Bombyx mori: one gene and its partners. The protein of the gene in region 1 purifies or fractionates together with the protein of each later gene. This does not show direct contact. Links are inferred from orthologs where the notes say so. Each region holds a gene or a part of one and is shown on either strand. Other genes may lie near its edges.

Evidence for each region.
Region 2: the proteins of juxtaposed with another zinc finger protein 1 (region 1) and bromodomain-containing protein 8 purify together in Homo sapiens (affinity purification with mass spectrometry; 3 studies listed by BioGRID and IntAct, with this or other methods). This does not show direct contact. The link is inferred for Bombyx mori from reciprocal best matches to the Homo sapiens genes JAZF1 and BRD8.
Region 3: the proteins of juxtaposed with another zinc finger protein 1 (region 1) and Or purify together in Homo sapiens (affinity purification with mass spectrometry; 4 studies listed by BioGRID and IntAct, with this or other methods). This does not show direct contact. The link is inferred for Bombyx mori from reciprocal best matches to the Homo sapiens genes JAZF1 and NR2C2.

What each region holds. Positions count from the first base shown.
Region 1 is NC_085112.1:4,199,380-4,203,005, forward strand, and holds part of juxtaposed with another zinc finger protein 1, read left to right. Parts: intron 1-573; coding exon of another isoform or gene 574-673; intron 674-990; coding exon 991-1,441; 3' UTR 1,442-3,626. UniProt on the Homo sapiens protein: Acts as a transcriptional corepressor of orphan nuclear receptor NR2C2. Inhibits expression of the gluconeogenesis enzyme PCK2 through inhibition of NR2C2 activity.
Region 2 is NC_085117.1:1,939,487-1,943,616, forward strand, and holds the start of bromodomain-containing protein 8, read right to left. Parts: upstream 2,838-4,130; 5' UTR 2,486-2,837; coding exon 2,301-2,485; intron 1,025-2,300; coding exon 844-1,024; intron 38-843; coding exon 1-37. Other genes in the region: uncharacterized protein LOC101740762, read right to left, coding at 4,034-4,130. UniProt on the Homo sapiens protein: May act as a coactivator during transcriptional activation by hormone-activated nuclear receptors (NR). Isoform 2 stimulates transcriptional activation by AR/DHTR, ESR1/NR3A1, RXRA/NR2B1 and THRB/ERBA2.
Region 3 is NC_085133.1:379,829-383,486, reverse strand, and holds part of Or (nuclear orphan receptor), read right to left. Parts: intron 3,220-3,658; coding exon 3,139-3,219; intron 2,776-3,138; coding exon 2,643-2,775; intron 874-2,642; coding exon 681-873; intron 1-680. UniProt on the Homo sapiens protein: Orphan nuclear receptor that can act as a repressor or activator of transcription.

The DNA of each region.
Region 1 (3,626 bases):
GTATATCAATGACATGCTGTCTATTGATGGCATGGTTTGCTATGCGGATGACAGCGCGGGGGATGCGCAATATATCGGCCATCAGACTCTCGGAGCGTGGTGCAAGAGAGACGATCAAAACTTGTGTCTGAAGTGGAGAACTGTCTGGGGCGAGTTAGAATCTAATCCGTTGAAGACACACGTTTGCGCAACATTATAATTTAAGTAATTACTAGTAGCAGGACGTCTTGTGAGCCCGCACAGGTGGGTACCACCACCCTGCCTATGTCTGCCGTGAAGCAGTGATGCGTTTCGGCTTGAAGGGTGGGGCAGCTATTGTATTGTAAAAACTGGGACCTAAAAACTCATATCTCAAGGTGGGTGGCGGCATTTACGTTGTAGATTTCTATGGGCTCCGGTAACCACTTAACACAAGGTGCAATAAAAAAAATATACGGTTTAGTCTCGCATTTATTGTTATCATTAGATTTAGATATTGTTTCGGATGAGGAGAATAGTTTGAGGAAATGAAATTCGCGTCTGTTATCATGTCCGGTATAAAGTAAAGAGTTAAATCGATTTGGCAATGTCTAGACAATACCCGATGTTGTCAGCGCCTGGTCTGTTCAGTAAAAAGCGATCGTCCGCACCAAAGAAGCGTTTGACTCCGCAAGAATACTTTTGGAAGAAATGGGTACAAGATAAACGCTAGTATTAAATACTTATTACGCACCTAAATCTTTTTGGATTATCGAGTGTAGTTCATTGTTTTTGTCGATGATAATAGAGTACTTAGATTTATAATCTGTTTTACGTTGATGGAATTGTAATAAAAACTTGGCCTTAATTGCCAATACGAACTACGAAAAGTCAACATAGCAATAATAGGATGAAATACGCACATATGGATTATATTACGAGCAAACATACAGTCATTCATTTTATATATTGTTGGATTATTTGTACTGTACGAAATTAGTATGAAATCCAACGAAGGATCGTATGTTTCAGGGTAAGAAAGGCTTACAAATGCCAGTGCGGCAAAAGTTACAAAACCGCCCAAGGATTTAAGAGCCACTCCATATCGCAACACATCGCCAATAGCACAGTGCTGGCGGTCCCATCAGAGCTGGTCCGGCCGGCGCAGAGAATGCCCGCCGTCGTGGTGACGGCGTCGGGCTCTCGTCCGCACCACGGCCCCGACGGAGCTGACAGCAACAAGCTGGTTCGCATCTATGACACACTAAAAAACAAAGATCTCTCATCGTTTACCATCACTAAAAGTAATCTCGGCATCAATGTCCTATCGAAGCAAAGTCATTTACGTCACGGTCTCCCGTCGTCTCACTCCCCGCCCGTTACGAGTCTCGTTGAGAAAAATGTCGACGCTTATACTAAAGTGACGGTGCAGAGCGCCCAACAGGTTTACGCACAGTCTTTCACTAATGAGACGGCCAATTAATTTAGAACCTTTGCGATCGAAGCGAATTCAAAACGCAGGTTCGAATACACAGTTCCTAATAGTTTTGTTTTTGTTCAGATTTATTTAGCTAACGTAGGTACATAGACTATAGAGGTCGTCAAATGTATTATTGCTTACATGAAATTTAGCTTTCATAAAATTTTCTAGCACAAAAATGTTCTGTAGTAATGCTCCGCAATTTATTTATTTTCACGTTGACATTAGATTAGTTGTATTTATTTTAGTATTATTTGTGATTGTTGTTAATATTTATTTGATTTATTTGCATGTTTTTTTTCATCTGTAATTAGTCTATGGAAAAGGCTGTGGGAGAAATGTTTAATTGGCGTAAACGATTGGTTTATAAAATCGATCTATTTGTAGTTTAGAGTTGGGGTGCGTTCGGATATACATGAAAGTATTTTCCTGTCGCAATAAGAGAGTGGGACGGGAATGTTTTGTTCGCAAATTTTTTTTTCGTATGAACGCACTAATCGCACCTTTTAAAATTCAATACGAAATTTTTCAGTATCGAAAGTGTGTTTTTTAATAAAAGATCTTTCTAATCTTCTTCTATTTTTAACAAAAGTCTTCCTAATAGTAAACAAATGATAAAACACTTACTAACAGCAATAACGTACTAGGTTCCTCGAAATTATAGTTTTAAAATTTCTTTTTAAAATATTTTTGATTCTGGTAACAATATTTTTTTTCTCTTCGTGCCATACTTTGTGGCATGTACTTAAAATTATCTATCAAAATCGCTTTAGATTTATAGATAAACGTTGTAAACACACCCTCGGAATAAATTATTTAAAAAAAGTCAAAAAAATAGTGAACCGCACTTAGTATCGGTATGCTACAGTAATGAACGTTAATGTGATAAAATAAAATAAAAAATACAAAAAAATAAGCTTAACTGCATAATCTAATTTTAATACACACTAAATGTATACATATAAGAATGTCATTTTATGTGACTTGTGTATTTTTATTCAGTGCCTTTTTCTTTTATACTGTGGTAAATTATATGAAGTGCTTTTTTTTTGTTTTGTTGGTAAACATTTTATAGTTTTCGTGTTTGAAAAAACAAACAATTCTTACCAATGAATTAAAAATATTTAATACAAAATTTACATTTTGCGCAATTGGCAATACAGAAAAAAGGTTGTCACACACACAATGCCCATCCCTTAAGAAAATATCCATGTACTTAGTGATTAAAATTGCAGAGGTACGAGTATTACACAAAATAAAAGAAAAATGAGTTTTGTTTTAAAAATAAAGATTCTCATAAAAATGGAATTAAATTTAATTTAAGAACCGTTTGACGTGTGCTTAATTTTTTTTATTGCGTAACCAAAGTTTTTAGAATATAAGTAAACATTCATATGTAATGCTTACACGAGCGTATAATGATAAAATTTAATTTTATGTCAGTGGTTTGAATACGTTTTAGATTTAGATAAAAATTAATGCACGTTCTAAAAAATATTCTCATGTCCTTTTACATACTTTATATGTTTTGTCCGCACTTGATTTGTATTTTTTTGTTACTAATAATTGAAGGATTAAAAAACAAATCTCTCAGGAAGCCAAGATTGTTTTGATTGAAAATAACAATTGGGAATAGGGAGTGTAAAGTTGGGACCATCTGTCCCTTTCTGTTTAACAATTCGATCACAGTACTCTTGGAATATCGAGTATATGTGTTTAATAGCGCTGACGAAATTTACGAAGTATTCAAAAGGATTATTTATTTTAATTAAACAAATCTAATGAATAGTGGTTTCAACTTCAACAATAAGCACAAAAAAGCGTCGTCTATTTCATGTTTGGCGAATAAAATTCTTTGCGCATTTCTGTTGCAAAGCAGTTTTTCATTCTGTGTGCTTAGTGCGAGTTATTTAACGTTCTCGATAACGTAAAAGTTAGGTCATATTTGTATGGGATGGGATCGTTCGCCTACGTTTGCCGCTAGGGGCGCTGTTCCAACCGCATACAAAATTGGGTTAACTTTTACGCTATCGAGAACGTTAAAAAACTCGCACTAAACACACTGATTTGAAGGGAGAGAGGATCAATAAGATTTACAGTTCGATCTCATATCTAATGGGATCCGGGCGGCGTTCTAAGTGTGATTAACGGGTAACAAAAACTTTGATGTTAAAAAAAAATCGATTAA
Region 2 (4,130 bases), on another chromosome or scaffold:
CAGACGTTGAAGGATTACGGATCTCCGATAATTCATCCTGTGGTACAAAGGTAAAGAAAGATATATTACTAGCTTATATTTATGAGTCAAAGTGAAGTCGTCGTGGCCTAAAGGATAAGAGGTCCGGTGCATTCGTATGTAGCGATGCACTGGTGTGTAAAAATAAGACTTTGACTTAAAACTCTCATTACTAGGCTATAAAACCTTTTAAAAGTTGATGTTGATGTTGACACCGAACTGTCACTAAATGGTCAGATATTAGCCAATACTTAACAACTCTGACAGCACTTAAAGTTTTATAAAAAGCTTGAGATTTATAAAAAAAAAAAAGTGCGTGCGTACAAAGTACACATGTCAGAAGTGAAACTTTTTTGGCGAACTAATTTATAAGTCTTACTTATATTTATGCAAATCTAAAACTTTAGATTTCCAAGACTTAGAAGAAGGGAAAAAGGAAGATATGTTCCCGCCAAAAGTCTGTCAAATGTCAATCTCAAACCTCAGTGTTGACATTCACATTATGCTTAGATTTCTAAATTGTAGATGACTAATATTTTGCCAATTGAATTGACTAATTTAATTTCATGCTATGTTCCAAATTCTTTTCATTTCATTTCAATTCCTATTAACATTTTTCACAAAAAAATAAAATATTAGGCTGTATGATATGATACATTTGCCTTTCCAGTTGGAAAAATACAACAACTACTACTACTGACATTTGACAAGTACTTAATTTTAATAGTAGTTTGATGTCCTTCCGTTGCATACCTGCGTGACGTTCTGTAAAAATTTTACCCTCATAAAGAAGAAAGAAAGAAGTTTCACTTGAAAATTAAATACCTTCATTACTTCATGTTGTTGACTCATTTCAGCAATATTCTTCTGGATCTCGGCTATCCGATCTTGGGTTAAACGTTTCAATATACTCTCCTGTGGAGTTTCCACGCCACCGTCAGAGTTTCTCTTTTTTCGTTTCGGCGTTTCCACATGTTCTAATAGCGTTCCATATTGTGCAGCACAGCTGATGGATGGAAATGTGTTAATGACATACGGATAACGGAGCCCACAGTTCTTGTAGATCTAAATCTCATTATCATTCAGCTATCCAATGCTTCAGAGGAAGACATGACATCTACGCAGTTTGATATGGATTGAATAAGCTCATAAACAATATAACTATTTAAAATAATAGAATGAATATAATTAATTAGAGCTTTAGTGTCTTTCAAATAAGTTATTTGTAATTTTGTTAATTTTTTTATGAATAGGATTAATTTACTGGGGATTTAAGGAGCAATCTGCAAAATTTAAATTTTTTCATAGATTTTAAATAAAGAAGGTACATACTTAGTTAGACTCTTTTTATATGCCATTATATCAGAACTCTTTCCAAAGTGTAATTACATTAAATGATTTTATTTTAAAGCTAGTGCTATTTTATTATTTATTTTATTTATTTATTTATGTACACACAGAAAACAAGACACAGTACAGAGTAATAGGAAAATTATGTACAAAGGCACTACTTATTTCTTTGAGAAATCTCTTCCAGCAGACCTGCGAGAGGATAATGAGAATAATAATAAAATGTGATAAGTGTGTGTAGAACAAACTTATTGCTATATATGCTACTTATTTTAGTTTATTTGATAATATATTTTTATAAATTATTTATAATATTGAATATTCAATTGGCTTTTGACAATGATCTCATTTTATTTTGTTTAACTCGGTGTTATTGTTTTGTCAAAATGTTGTATTAACATTTCTTTTGAACATTTAATTATTGGGGCCACCCGCCATATAATATAAGAGCTGTGTTTAACCAATCCTAATGTTGTCAAAGTTATAGAGGGTGTCTTTTAGCGAGTGGAAAGACTTAAAGAGCGGACAGTTCACGTGGTATCGACATGTTATGCGTAGAGAGGAGATGCATGAGACTAGGAGATTTATGGAAATTGTAGTGCAAGGTAGAGGGGGAAAACTTGACCAAAGAAGACATGGATGGAGTGTGTGAATGACGATATGAGAGAGAGAGGAGTGTGTGTTGACCTATTATAGCCTACTAAATACTATAATAGCTCTACTGAATATAATTTTAAGTTTTATCGAGTTCAAATAACGTGGAAAGCGTGGTGGAATTTTCATTGGTGAATAATGCAAAAATGGTTTGAAAATAAAAAATAAATGTGTAAAAACGAATGTGTTTCTCATCAACTCAGCCACCACTTCACTATCGCAAGCTATTTCAAACCTGTATCAATAATTATATAGTAGATATAAAAGAAAAACAAAACCTTTTTTGGGAATACCAGTCCGGAGGCCTGTTTGGCTCGCCAAGGGTCTTTAGAGCGCGGGAAACCGACATCCAGTTCTGATCCCCGCTTCTGACCACGGCGGAGGCCAGGCATAGCTGTTCACGTATATTCCAAGTGTCCAGAGGAACTCTTTTGAGCTGAAGACGCTCTTGTATCGAGCTCATTTTGAGGTTATGTTTTGGAAATGGAGTTTCGAGATTACATAACTATTTATAGTTGTTTAATTGTCCATGTAATGTGTATTTACTGTTTTGAAAGTATATTATTTTTATTTTATTATTTAACTGTTTAGAACACAATTAATAAGTGTTTATTCTATGATACAAACGTCAAACATGATACAAAACAAATATATTTTTTTTAAAGTATTTAATGACCTGGTTATCAAGACCTTCGGGTCAAGTCTTATTTTAATTGTAATGAAAACTTTTTTATATGTAAAATTATAATATTTTATTTCATATTATAATTTTACATATAAATGAAGTTGATTAATATAAAACATGGCATGAAATGAAATCAAATGAAATGAAAACGAAATGGAATGAAAAAGAAATCAATTAAGATGAGATGATATAGGAAGAAAATATATAATCTCATTAAAATGGTTGTCATTTCATTGTAGACTTTTTCAGTGAAATTTTTGGAGGATCCCGAGAAGTTACGTTCAGCGGCTTGTTAGTTGGCGTGTTCAATTATTATTATTTCTTTTATTTATTGCTTAGATGGGGGAATGAGCTCACAGCTCACCTGGCGTTAAGTGGTTACTGGAGCCCATACAAGGTAAATGCGCCACCCACCTTGAGATATAGGTTCTAAGGTCTCAGTATAGTTATCTCGAATATATTAAGTGTATAAATCTATGATAGTTAGACTCTAATACACTTTTTAAATAAGATAGATCTATGACATATTTTTTGAAGTCGTCGTGGCCTAACGGATATGACGTCCGGTGCATTCGTGTTGAGCAATGCACCGGTGTTCGAATCCCGCAGGCGGGTACCAATTTTTCTAATGAAATACGTACTCAACAAATGTTCACGATTGATTTCCACGGTGAAGGAATAACATCGTGTAATAAAAATGAAACCCGCAAAATTATAATCTGTGTAATTACTGGTGGTAGGACCTCTTGTGAGTCCGCGCGGGTAGGCACCACCACCCTGCCTATTTCTGCCGTGAAGTAGTAATGCGTTTCGGTTTGAAGGGTGGGGTAGCCGTTGTAACTATACTTGAGACCTTAGAACTTATATCTCAAGGTGGGTGGCGCATTTACGTTGTGGATGTCTATGGGCTCCAGTAACCACTTGATACCAGGTGGGCTGTGAGCTCGTCCACCCATCTAAGATATAAAAAAATAAAAAAATATTTCCACTATTTTCCACAATCCACTGAGTTGTCTATGTCGTGGGGCGTTAGGGATGATAATCGCGTGCCAAGTGAGCCTTAGAATCGCCTACCGATTCGACACAATTAAAAATCTAATCTTTTAAAGTCCTTATAGGTTATTATTCCCAGTATGCGTTTAGGGTCATGTTTGTCATTTAGGCCTGAAACGAGTCACACGAAATTAATTATCAGCATTCAAACGACTTTTTAATTATTTTTAAGGAATTCCGGAAAATAAAATAATATCTCACATTAATTTCTCTCAAATTTTAGATACATATATTTTGTGTGTAACTTGAAACTTAGTTTTTCTTTAGTTAATTTTATGAGCTATGTCCCGCCGAGTTTCCCCTCTGCCTCTCGTAAATAAACTTCAACACGGTGTCAATGTCATCAGATTTTGACATTCGTCCTTTAGGC
Region 3 (3,658 bases), on another chromosome or scaffold:
GGATCAGCTTGTTGGACTTAATGGTCCAACTTACTTAAGTGGTCCACTTTAGTAAGTGGCAGATGAAAGGCGACTGCATGCAGCAGAGATGCGAATGTTACGATGGATGTGTGGAGTAACGAGAATGGATAGAATGGATGGAATGAATATGTTAGAGGAAGTCTGAAAGCAGCACTTGTGACAGAGAAGCTGAGAAGTGTGCGTTTGGGATGGTATGGACATGTGATGAGACGAAATGAAAATGAGGTTGGTAAGAGAGTGTTAACTATGAATGTGGAAGGTTAAAGAGGAAGAGGTAGACATGAGAAGAAATGGATGGATAGCGTGAAATACGATATGGGTAAGAGGGGAGTGAGTGAAGAAATGGTATATGATAGAAGAGTATGGAAGGAGGAAGCATGTTGCACCGACCCCTGGTGACTGGAAGAAGGGCAGGTTAATGATGATGATAATTTTGCGGGTTTCATTTTTATTACACGATGTTATTCCTTCACCGTGGAAGTCAATCGTGAACAATTGTTAAGTAAGTATTTTATTAGAAAAATTGGTACCCGCCTGCGGGATTCGAACACCGGTGCATCGCTACATACGAATGCACCGGACTTCTTATCCTTTAAGCCACGACGAGTTAAAGTCGAGTTATCTATAACTGATTGATGTGTCATATCTATTCAGCAGACCTCGGGCGCGTGGTCGTCGAGCGGTGCGTGCGCGGCTGCGGCGCCGGACGCGCGCTCCCGCAGCACGGCGTGCAGGTGCCCCGCCATGCTCGGCAGCAGCGTGCCCAGGGACATCTCGTGCGACAACTTGCACAGACCCAGCACGAACAGCTCGGCCCACGACTTCTTGAACAGCGTCACTTGGATCTCGAACCTGATCAGAATATATACCGAACCTTATATGGTGGTAGGACCTCTCGTGAGTCCGCGCGGGTAGATACCACCGCCCTGTCTATTTCTGCCGTGAAGCAAGGGCAGGGTAGCCGTTGTAACTATACTGAGATCTTAGAACTTATATCTCAAGGTGGGTGGCGCATTTACGTTGTAGATGTCTATGGGCTCCAGTAACCACTTAACATCAGATGGGCTGTCAGCTCGTCTACCCATCTAGGCAATAAAAAAACAATATTATGTTGTCTTTAGAAGTAGACGAGCATACGGCCTACCGCCCGAGTGGTCCACATGAACCTACTGCTCACTATAAGGACTATTTTACTCGTTTAGCGCTTGGTAATACGAGAAAGCACAATCAAGAATATTCTTTTGGCGGGAACGCGAGGTGTGAAGTTTCTTCGTGTTTAATGTGTAATACCGGTGGTTTATTAATTGTTTAATATCTGTAAAAGGGCACAAACGTGGGAAAATGAAACAAAGCCACTGAATGTGTGAACTTATCGGGATCCTCCAAAAAGTTCACTGAAAAAATTTCAGTAAATAACCACTATATTACTGAGATTATATTTCATGTCATGTTTCATATTAATCAACTTCATTTCATTTCATAAAAAAAAATTTTCCTATAAAAAGTTTTCATTACAATTAAAATAAGACTTGACCTGAGGGTCTTAGTCCCCAGGACATAAAATCACTTGAAAAAAAAAAAAAAAAACGTTTGGTGTAAGTAAAGCTTATTCCGTAGAAGTGGTCAGTGCAGTAGTGCAGCGGTCGCAAATCAAGGGTGGAGTTTGGTCCGGGGGCGGGGGATGCCACGGCAGAGTTCCTCATAATACACGATACAACAGATTCTCGCTGCGTGCAAACATACAAGGACTGTGTTTGCAAGGGACATTGCTCTCTTATATTATCGTACTCTGAAATCCTTCCACAGTGCCCAGACATTGCTGATGTCCATGGTTCTAACCATCTGCTCTCAAAGTTCACAAAAATAATGTTTTTTCCTACCTATGCTCGTAGCCTAGAGAGGCTATTTCAGCTTCTTTGTCTACTGCCCACTTTGAGAACAAAATCTATTTTAGCGCCCCCATTTTTTCGCCTACTTAAAAACTGAGAGCTCAGTCGGTGTTCAAGAGCCCTCCTAGATGAAATTACAAATCGCCTCCCAAGCCTCTACACAACGCCCCCATTTTTTTCTGGGTCTCTTACCGCCCTCCTTGGGTCCTTCAGCGTCTACAAGGGGGCGTTATCGCTCACTTTGGGAAAGGCTGCTCTAAACGCTCTAAACGGAGTGTTGCTAGCACTGGCCCTTGTAAGTGCCGTGCTTCGCAGAATCTACCACCGTGCGTGCGGGTGCGTGCGTGCGTGCGGGTGCGTGCGTGCGTGCGTGCGGGTGGGTGCGTGCGTGCGTGCGGGTGCGTGCGCGCGTGCGGGTGGGTGCGTGCGTGCGGGTGCGTGCGCGCGTGCGAGTGCGTGCGTGTGGGTGCGTGCGTGCGTGCGGGTGCGTGCGTGCGGGTGCGTGCGTGCGTGCGTGCGGGTGCGTGCGTGCGTGCGGGTGCGTGCGTGCGTGCGTGCGGGTGGGTGAGTGCGTGCGTGCGTGCGGGTGCGTGCGCGCGTGCGGGTGCGTGCGTGCGGGTGCGTGCGTGCGTGCGTGCGGGTGCGTGCGTGCGTGCGTGCGGGTGCGTGCGTGCGTGCGTGCGGGTGCGTGCGTGCGTGCGGGTGCGTGCGGGTGCGTGCGCAGGTACGTACGGCAGCGCGGTGGCGGCGGGCAGCGCGGCGAGTGCGCGCGCGGTGGCGGCCAGCAGGCGCGCGGCGCTCTCGCAGGCGGCGTGCAGGGGCAGCGCGCCGCCGCCGGGCACCAGCACCGAGCACACCTCCATCTCTGGAAATTGTACATACTCTTGTCAACGAACATAACGATGTCAATATGTATATCTTACGGGCGGTGTTTGTGACCTCCAGTAACTAGATAGAGGTCAGGCGGAAGTGACAGCAGGAGACAATGAGCGGGTGCGTCCAGAATCGACTTTTAGATGCTACTTTGGTCTCGACTTCTCAACATAGTCGTCGTCTGCAAGCCTTGGTATCTCAATTCACCGACCGATACACACACACATTTTGAAGGCAGGGCACTCCGCCAAACATCACCGGAATTTTGATTAAATTAATTCTCAGATATGACAGGCGACGATCCCTGCCTAGCGACTAGGGTCCAGTAGTGTGTGCAAGTGCGTGCGTGTGGTACCGTCGGGGCGCGCGTCGTCGGCGGGGGGCGGGGGCTCGGGCGCGGCGCCGTACGCCGACTGCAGGTACTCGTTGATGGCTCCTGTCGATCACCACATTAAGGTCAGAACAGCATGCAGGTGCAATTAGACGATAGATAGAAATTTTTTTGACATAGTATTTTGCTGAACTAAACATCTATATATATATAAAAATGAATTGCTGTTCGATAGTCTCGCTAAAACTCGAGAACGGCTGAACCAATTTGGCTTAAATTTGGGATTTGGATTAAATACGAAAATGCTCAGAATTAAATAAAGATGACAATTTTGTTTATTCTTTGATGTGTCCCCCGTCGGACGGATTCCTTTTGTTTTTATTTTTAGTTCATTTTATACAAAAGTTTAGGTTTTTTATTTATCGATTGAGGCATTACGAAGTCTGCCGGGTCAGCCAGTAGTTAATATATGTAGTTAATTAGTAGTGTGCATAACAAAAAATATATCTCTAGATTTTTGTTATTTCATAAAAAATTTGTAGAC